Linked DNA regions of Tribolium castaneum. The protein of the gene in region 1 purifies or fractionates together with the protein of each later gene. This does not show direct contact. Links are inferred from orthologs where the notes say so. Each region holds a gene or a part of one and is shown on either strand. Other genes may lie near its edges.

Region 1 (4,071 bases):
ATTCGGTGGGTTTCCCCGAAGAGACTTTATCACCGATTCCTATGGATACAGTTGGCCCTGATCCGAAATTGGACGTTGTGATGGCATTAATGTGTTATGGTCTTTATCCAAATGTTTGTTATCACAAAGAGAAACGAAAAGTTTTGACAACCGAGAGCAAGGCCGCCTTGATACATAAAACATCAGTCAATTGCAGTAACTTTGAACAAACGTTCCCGTATCCATTTTTTGTTTTTGGGGAGAAAATACGGACAAGGGCCGTTTCGTGTAAACAAATGAGTATGGTGACGCCGATTCATTTGTTATTGTTTGGTTCGAGAAAAATTGATTGGGTAATTCAAACTAAACAATTGAATTGCAAGTGTGAGTTGATTTGATTTTGTTTAGGTTGATGGTGTTGTGCGACTTGATAATTGGATTAATTTGAATATGGACCCAGAAGTGGCGGCCCTTATTGTGGCCCTAAGGCCGGCCCTGGAAAGTTTAGTTGTTCGGGCGTCGCAAGAACCGGAACAAATACTCGAAATGTCACCAGGAGATCTCAAAGTAATTCATAAAAATATCTAGACTTAAATTTTTCGAGCGCTATATTTGGCTTTTTGCAGTTTGTTGCAACAATTAAAGAGCTGTGCAAGTTGCACGCTGGGAGTTACCAAATCGAGAGGGCTAGACCCCAAATGCAACAATCGAGGCGTCCACCAAGGGGGCACTCTTTGGGTTTTCAAGGACCACCACCAAAGTTTTTCAGAGGGGGGTCTCGAGGGGGCTTTGGAGATAATCGGGGTGGTTTTCGAGGGGGTTTTGATGGGGGCCATGGATTTGGGGGAAGAGGGGGTTTCAGAGGCAGGGGCGGATTTCCAAGAGGTCGTGGTTTCAGAGGCTATAGTAATTATTAATTGTATCGGTAGACATAAATGTGTTTGATCATCTCGGTATTCAAAAATTAAAAATTTTAACAAAATAAATATTAGTTTTTTCTTCTCGAACTTGAGGCCTTGGCTCACTAGATTCACTACAAAGAACAAAACAATATATATTTTTTGTTGAGTTTGTTAATAAAATTTAAATTTGAAGATTTGGCTAAATGACTACTACCGTAAAAACTAACACAACTCTAGGAAACTAACAACTTAAAGCTTACGCTTAAATATAAAAAATGTGACGACCCTGCCAGGATTCGAACCTGGAATCTTCTGATCCGTAGTCAGACGCGTTATCCGTTGCGCCACAGGGCCTGTAACACTCCCCTCTGTTTCTGATCATTTACCTACCCAACGTTACCAAGTCAATTTAATTGCTCTGATAGTTGCTAATTTGATTGGTGGTGCGGTTGAAATTGACCTCTCCCTTAATTATATTACTAGAATGCTTCAACAAAACATGTTGAATAGAAAAAAGTTCAAATAAAATCATAAAAAAAATCTGTCTCGTATTGACGTATAATTGGTTGCCTGCATATCACTATCACGTAATAGTGCAAACACCAAAATCTCAACTCTTAGCAATGGTATTCCCTTTAATTAAACCAGCTGGTGTGAAAACAGCCTCAAAACCATCAATTTCGGTAAGATTGAGTTATTTTTGCCCCAATCCAAGGTCACGTCATAAAATTGGCAACGTTCGTTATGTCAATTACGTCAACTGTCAATCAATTAAGATGCCCATTTATTTTCATCGCCCTAAAAGATGATTTTGTAAGCAAAAAGTGTTAGTAAGTCCTTGACAAAAACTCAAAATTGGATATTTTAGTAGTTAGTGTAGAATGGAGGCTGCGGGCGAATCGCGGGAAGTCCCCATAACAGTCTTGAGGCCCAAAACCAAGGCACTGTTATGCGACCTGTTGAACCCCCAGATGTTCATGCCAGGCCCTAATGGGGTGCTCCGGTGAGTACAGTTTTAGTATAGTTACAGTTTGTTGATTGGGGGGCTTAGGTATTGGAGAGGTTTGGCTGGCCTGTGCCAGATTAGCCCCAATTATGAGGCGAGTCTTGTCAACGATTCAAACCCCACAGATAAAGTGTTACAGTTGTGGTATGAAAAAGACCCCCAACGTTGTACTGTACAACAATTGTTGTTATTTTTAGAAGAGATGGACCGGTTTGATGTTGCGGACGATGTCTTGGATTTGATCGGTAAATTAATTTCACTATGATTTCGATTAATTTGTGCGAATTTTGTTGTTTTGTAGATGAGGACATTAAATTGTACAAAGCCAATCCACAAGGCTATGAACTCAAGCCTCTCTATTCCGAAGCTGATAAATACATTATTACAACAGATGACGTGATAAGGATTAATGAAGGCCGGGATTTGGAAATTTACGATGCGTTTTTATTGTACGACCATGATGATATTGAATTTGCCATAGAATTGTTGGACAGAATGGAGAAGGAATATGGAATGAAGTTCTGCGTTAAAGACCGCGATTTGGTCGGAGGTGGCTTAGAAATGGACAAAATGATTAAATTAATAACACATCGGTGTAACCGTTTGGTTGTTATTCTTTCAGATTCGTTTTTTAAAAGCTCAGCCAATGAGTATTATTTAAGTTTTGCACACGCTTATGGAATTGGTAACAACAGTTAAAAACATGCATTTTTTATGTTTAATTGTTGTTTTTACACAGAAAGTCAAAGGAAAATTATTCCTTGCATTTATAAAAATCTAACAACGAATCCGCCACATATGAAGTGTCTCTTCACTTTGGATTTTCAACGAATGGCTGCTTTCAATGTGTGGGATAAGTTACGTGATTCGATCAGAGTGGTCAGTGCGGAAAAATTCAAAGTTAACAGGTATTGCCTACTTGATTTTTGTTACTTTGAATAAAATTTTTGATCAAGTAGACTTTGACTGAAATTAAGTTGGTAACATTTGCTATCGTCTGTTTTTAAGGTAAGGCTGTTTTTTCACTAACACACTAAATATTTGATTTTTGGGTTGATTTCCTGCAATTTTTTGCATATTTTTGTGTTGAATGTTCGAAAAAGTAAAAAATAAACCCATTTTCTAATCATTTCGGCGATTTCTGGATTCAATTTACCATTTACTACATAATTATTGAACAGAATGTTCGGGGAAATACTCAAACGACTTAAGTTCAGTGTTGGCAACTTAATTTCAGTCATAGACCACTTCGATTAGAGTTCAATTAATTCAATGCGAGTGTAATTGCAGGTCCCAATCCGACAATGGTCAAGTGTTGAGGTCCGCTTTACATCAGAGGGACCCTATCGGTCTCAGACCGTTAAATCACGGCGTAAAATTTAGCAGTAGTGTAGGTGATTTGAAAAGCACAGAGGCTATAAGCGAACCACCGCTCAATCCCAGTACAAGTGCCGACAATTTAGAATCGTGTTCGGAACAGAAAAAAGAGAAGAAAACCACTTTGTTGAAAAAAATCAAAGGCCATTTCAAGCGAGATAAAGATTGCTCATCCAAGGCGGAAAAAGGAAGCAAAGGATTGAAGAAACACTTGAAGCGAGCCACAGCCGTCGCGAACTGATGCATTTTATTTGTGATTTGTGTAAATAAGTGCAATTATTTTTAATAAATATGATTGAATTTGTTGTGGGGATTTTCATTTTGTCACCAAACCCTAGTTACTGCGCAAAATATGATTTGGCAACAAAGCAGTGGCAAAAATGACAGTTGTTCCTCCAGCCCGATTTTTGTCATCATAAACAGTGGGTGTAACAAAAAATCGCACACTTTTCCATCACCAGTGCCCCCAGAATGTGCCCCACGTTGTAAAATCATCACAACACAATGTTCCCTCAAGTGACAATGTGCTATTCTTGATTGGGCAAAAGTAGGTTGAATAGTTGGTTAAATAATGGATTTGGCTGACTCCGGCGGTGGTCTTGGACCCGAGACCATCTACGGGACGCACGAGGACTCCCATGTGGTGATGTCGGAGAAGGTGCAATCGTTGGCTGGTAGCATCTACCAGGAGTTCGAACGAATGATCGCACGCTACGACGAAGACGTCGTCAAGACCCTCATGCCCCTGCTGGTGAACGTGCTGGAGTGTTTGGACGCGGCGTATCAACAGAACCAGGTACTTGACTC
Region 2 (4,173 bases), on another chromosome or scaffold:
CAATTTTTGTCGATTTTGGGTACCCGGAACATTTGTTGAGCAATAGCTCCGGAACTATCAGAGATAACCCCATGAAGTTTATTATCGTTGGAAAGCTCTTTGAATTATCTATTTTTTTCAAAAAAAATTATTGTTCTCGATAACTCTAATAGTTTCGCCGTAATCGGTAGTCAAAAATTGAAAAAAAGTGAAAATGGAAACCTTTTTTTGCGTTTTTCTCGGAAACTGTAAGACTTAGAGCAACGAACAAAAAACTATCTGATAGCGTTTTCTCTATTTTTGCCGATATCTTCTGAACGATTTTTGCAGATTTGGATTCCGCTACGTTAGAAACACTACGTTACGTTAGAAAAACTTAATCATAAGAAAATTCTCGTGAAAAGTTGGTATAATACAGAAAATGAGCCGCTGAATTCAATGGAACAAACCGCATTGCTCTACGACTTTTAGTTTTCGAGTTATGAATTTTTTTGTTGAATAAAACTTTTCACAAAAAATTTTAAATTTTTAATTTTTGTGAAAAATTGATATAATATGTAAAATGAGCTGTAGAATTCAATGGAACAAACCGCAGTGCTCTACGACTTTTAGTTTTTTTTATGAATTTTATTAGTAAAAATCTTTGATCGCCTCTGTAGCCGGAACCGTTGCCCGGAGCGGCTCCGGGTTTAAACAAAAAAATAGAGAAAATTAAGCGCTATCAGATGATTTTTTGTTCGTTGCTCTAAGTCTTATAGTTTCTGAGAAAAACGCAAAAAAAGGTTTCCATTTTCGCTTTTTTTCAATTTTCAACCGCCAATTACAGCCAAACTATTTGAGTTATCAAAAAAACGAAAAAATCGAGAACAACCGGAATAAAAAGCTCTACAAAATAGCATAAGACTCAAGGCGATATCTCGCAAAAAAAATTTCAATTTTCAAACGCCGATTACGGCCAAACTAAAAGAGCTAGGAGAAAACGCTTTTTTAGATCGGAAAGAGCACATCAAAATCTATAAGATAGAATCGGTTTTATTTGATTTAGAGACACTTTAAAAATTTACCGATTTTAAGGGGGGGTGTTAACTTTTTTTTATTTTTTTTTTATTTTCTCATTTCTGGCTAAACTATTCTAAAAAGTGAAACTATTTTGTTTCATACCTATGCAAAATGATCCGGGGAATCGATTGGCATCAAGAAAATTGCCAAATTCCCAATAGTTTTTTAGTTATGAGTTTTTGAGCATATGATCTAATTTTTGCTTTTATTTGCATTTTCTCGAAAACTATTAGTCGGACAACAATATTTTTTTTTGCAAAAGATAGATAATTTAAAGACCGGCACTCAATAGTTTGACAATATTTTTTTGACAACCACCACCACGAAAATGTCATTTATAAGTGGCAAATTCAAACCGTGGGATTTTAAAGGAAAATTACAAAGTTTGACATGTAGTGATTTAGTGAGAATAATGATTTTTCGAAAATGTTGTTTTTGTGTGCCTTTACGGTGTGGTGCTGCTATGTTACTTGTCCTCCAAATGGCATGTTTGACGCCTTATACGATATACAATCCCACCGCAAAACTAATTTTCATCTCAATAGGAATCATGATCCTTTTGGCAACAGCTGCAGTGATATTTATGTGGGCTATTGTATGGGAAAAACCTAAATATCTTTATGCAACACTTGGATTATCACTGGGATCCATCATTTTTTATTTTGCCACAATAGATTACGACTATTCTTTTAAGACATCAACAACACCCACAACAAAGAAAGAAGGAACTGTTCATTTAATCCTCTTGATTAATAACACCACAGGAATATTAACATATTTTTATTTTATTTTTATGTTATACAATACATATGTTAAGTTACAACATAAAGCTAGAAAAAAACAACAATCTACTGTACTACCACAATAAACCATTTGTTAATGTGTCCGGTTTTGTCTTTTTACCACGGTCGGACTTTGCCTTGAGTTGCGTGAGTTAAAATCCATGTATTTTTCGGGTCTTTAACCATTGACATTTGTTTATGTCTACCGTGAGTTTTACAAAGGACATAAAGACGTTGCTCTCGCATCACAAAATAGCAGTCTTTACAACGTCTATGCAGCTTTCCTTTTACTTTGAAACCACAACACTGTGTTTGGTTGTAATTCACAGCGGCTAAAAGTTTGCTCGGTGATGTTGCAATCGACGGCGTAAATATGTGATAATTCTTGGAAGTTGCAACAACAACAAAGGGGCACTTTCTAATCACATTAATTACATTTCGAATGAGTGGAAACATTTTGTGAAAGATGAGGTTAGAAAACCGCTTAGGGATTTATCATTAGAAAAGTTACTAGGATTGGTGACAGACACTGCTGACTGTCACTGCTTGTCAATGTAACATAACCCAATTTTTTTATTGTTATTTTTTTTAACGATGTTTATTTACGATATGCCGTTTCTCGAACGTAAAAAACTCTGTAGTATTTTGGATCGGAATAATTGCTTTGAGGAATTAGCTGCGGTTCATATGCAATTTGATTCTGAGACGGTCCAAGTGAGTAAATTCGTATTTACTCTAAAGATACCTAATTAGCTTTACCTAATCCATTTTCAGAAAATTAGTCGCGAATTTTTCAGAGGCATTTCCCCAACTGAAAAACTCCTCGACTTATGGAGTCATCACAACCATACCGTTTTTGAATTGTTTATTCTCTTGTATCGAATGAAACATTATCAAGCCATGACAATCCTTAAACCACTTGTCGATTCAAAATATCATCATTTGATTAAACAAAGTACTTGTCTTCCTGAATTAATGGCCGATTTAAAATTAGAACAAGAGCCAATAACAAGTGAAAAAATACTAAACGCTCCAAGTTGTGAAAACAATGAAACAAAGCCCCAAAAACCAAACGGAATCTCGCTTATTTCTTGTGTGACGGAATCTGTGGGAGCTGTTCCTCAAATTCCCTATGATGATTTAAGACAGTCAACAAATGATTGGAACACTGGATCGATTCTGGGTCGTGGAGGCTTTGGGACGGTATTTAAGGGTGTTTGGAAGTGCACTCAAGTTGCTATTAAAAGAATTGAGAAAAAAGCGGATGACAATTCGGATCAAATTTTTCAATCCTATACAGAATTACATTGTTTGAATGCATACAGACACGATAACATTTTGCCACTTTACGGGTACGTATAAACCAATTCAAATTAGACATGAAATATTTATTATTTTTATTCAGGTATAGCATTGACGGACCTCAGCATTGTTTGGTATACCAATACATGTCCGGGGGTTCCCTCGAGCACCGTCTCCACATTCGTGATGCGTCACGTGTCCTTTCATGGCCAACTCGTCTCACAATCGCAATTGGAACCGCTCGAGGTCTTCAATTTCTACACACAATTCGTGACAAACCGCTTATTCATGGCGACATCAAGTCTGCCAACATTCTTCTCGACCTAAACGAAATCCCTAGAATTGGGGATTTTGGTTTAGCTCGTGAAGGGCCACCACAAACCGATTATGTTAAAGTGAGTCGTATTCATGGAACGAGGCCGTATCTTCCTGACGAATTTATGAAATATAAAAAATTTTCGACCAAAGTTGATACTTACAGTTTTGGAGTTGTTTTATTCGAATTGGCGACAGCTGGAGCTGCTTATTCAAATAAAAGGGTGAACAAGTTTTTGAGAGATCATGTCGTGTTTTGGGAAGGTGATGTGTTACAATTGAAAGATTCAAGGGCTGAAGGAGGAGAAGATTTTTTTAAGGGATTAGTGGAAGTTGGAAAAGGGTGTGTGAGGACGGGGGCAAAGGACCGACCGGAAATGGTTACGGTTTTATTGCAATTAGAAGCTGTGATGAATCAATAAATTTTTACATACATTTTTTACAATTGTTTCATTTCTCTAATCAACATTTTCCGTCAATTACTTTTATAATTTACGGCTATTGATAATCGCATTCTACACAAGGTTACAAGGTTATTCATTTCGACTAATTTTATCAGAAAAAAAGCAATGTGACAGTTGATCGGTTTTGTGGACACTACTACAATTCAAGGATTTCTTTATTGTATAATAATTAGTTTTCAAGTTTTCATTAACAAATAAGGTTTGTTAAATCTGCTGTTGGCTTTTAATTTTTGTCATTGCAGAAGAAAACATTTTGAGAGTCACTGGTCGAC

Evidence for each region. The genes of interacting proteins can lie anywhere in the genome.
Region 2: the proteins of Myd88 (region 1) and pll purify together in Drosophila melanogaster (affinity purification with western blotting; 4 studies listed by BioGRID). This does not show direct contact. The link is inferred for Tribolium castaneum from reciprocal best matches to the Drosophila melanogaster genes Myd88 and pll.

What each region holds. Positions count from the first base shown.
Region 1 is NC_087394.1:36,805,379-36,809,449, forward strand, and holds Myd88 (myeloid differentiation primary response protein MyD88), read left to right. Parts: upstream 1-1,496; 5' UTR 1,497-1,694; intron 1,695-1,749; exon of another isoform or gene 1,750-1,752; 5' UTR 1,753-1,762; coding exon 1,763-1,884; intron 1,885-1,932; coding exon 1,933-2,132; intron 2,133-2,188; coding exon 2,189-2,572; intron 2,573-2,626; coding exon 2,627-2,795; intron 2,796-3,177; coding exon 3,178-3,505; 3' UTR 3,506-3,569; downstream 3,570-4,071. Other genes in the region: mle (dosage compensation regulator), read left to right, coding at 1-332, 388-546, 606-896; syd (JNK-interacting protein 3), read left to right, coding at 3,836-4,060.
Region 2 is NC_087401.1:17,599,803-17,603,975, reverse strand, and holds pll (serine/threonine-protein kinase pelle), read left to right. Parts: upstream 1-1,344; 5' UTR 1,345-1,522; intron 1,523-1,583; 5' UTR 1,584-2,414; coding exon 2,415-2,534; intron 2,535-2,594; coding exon 2,595-3,172; intron 3,173-3,225; coding exon 3,226-3,859; 3' UTR 3,860-3,882; downstream 3,883-4,173. UniProt on the Drosophila melanogaster protein: Plays an essential role in the Tl receptor signaling pathway that establishes embryonic dorsoventral polarity; the signal directs import of dl into ventral and ventrolateral nuclei, thereby establishing dorsoventral polarity.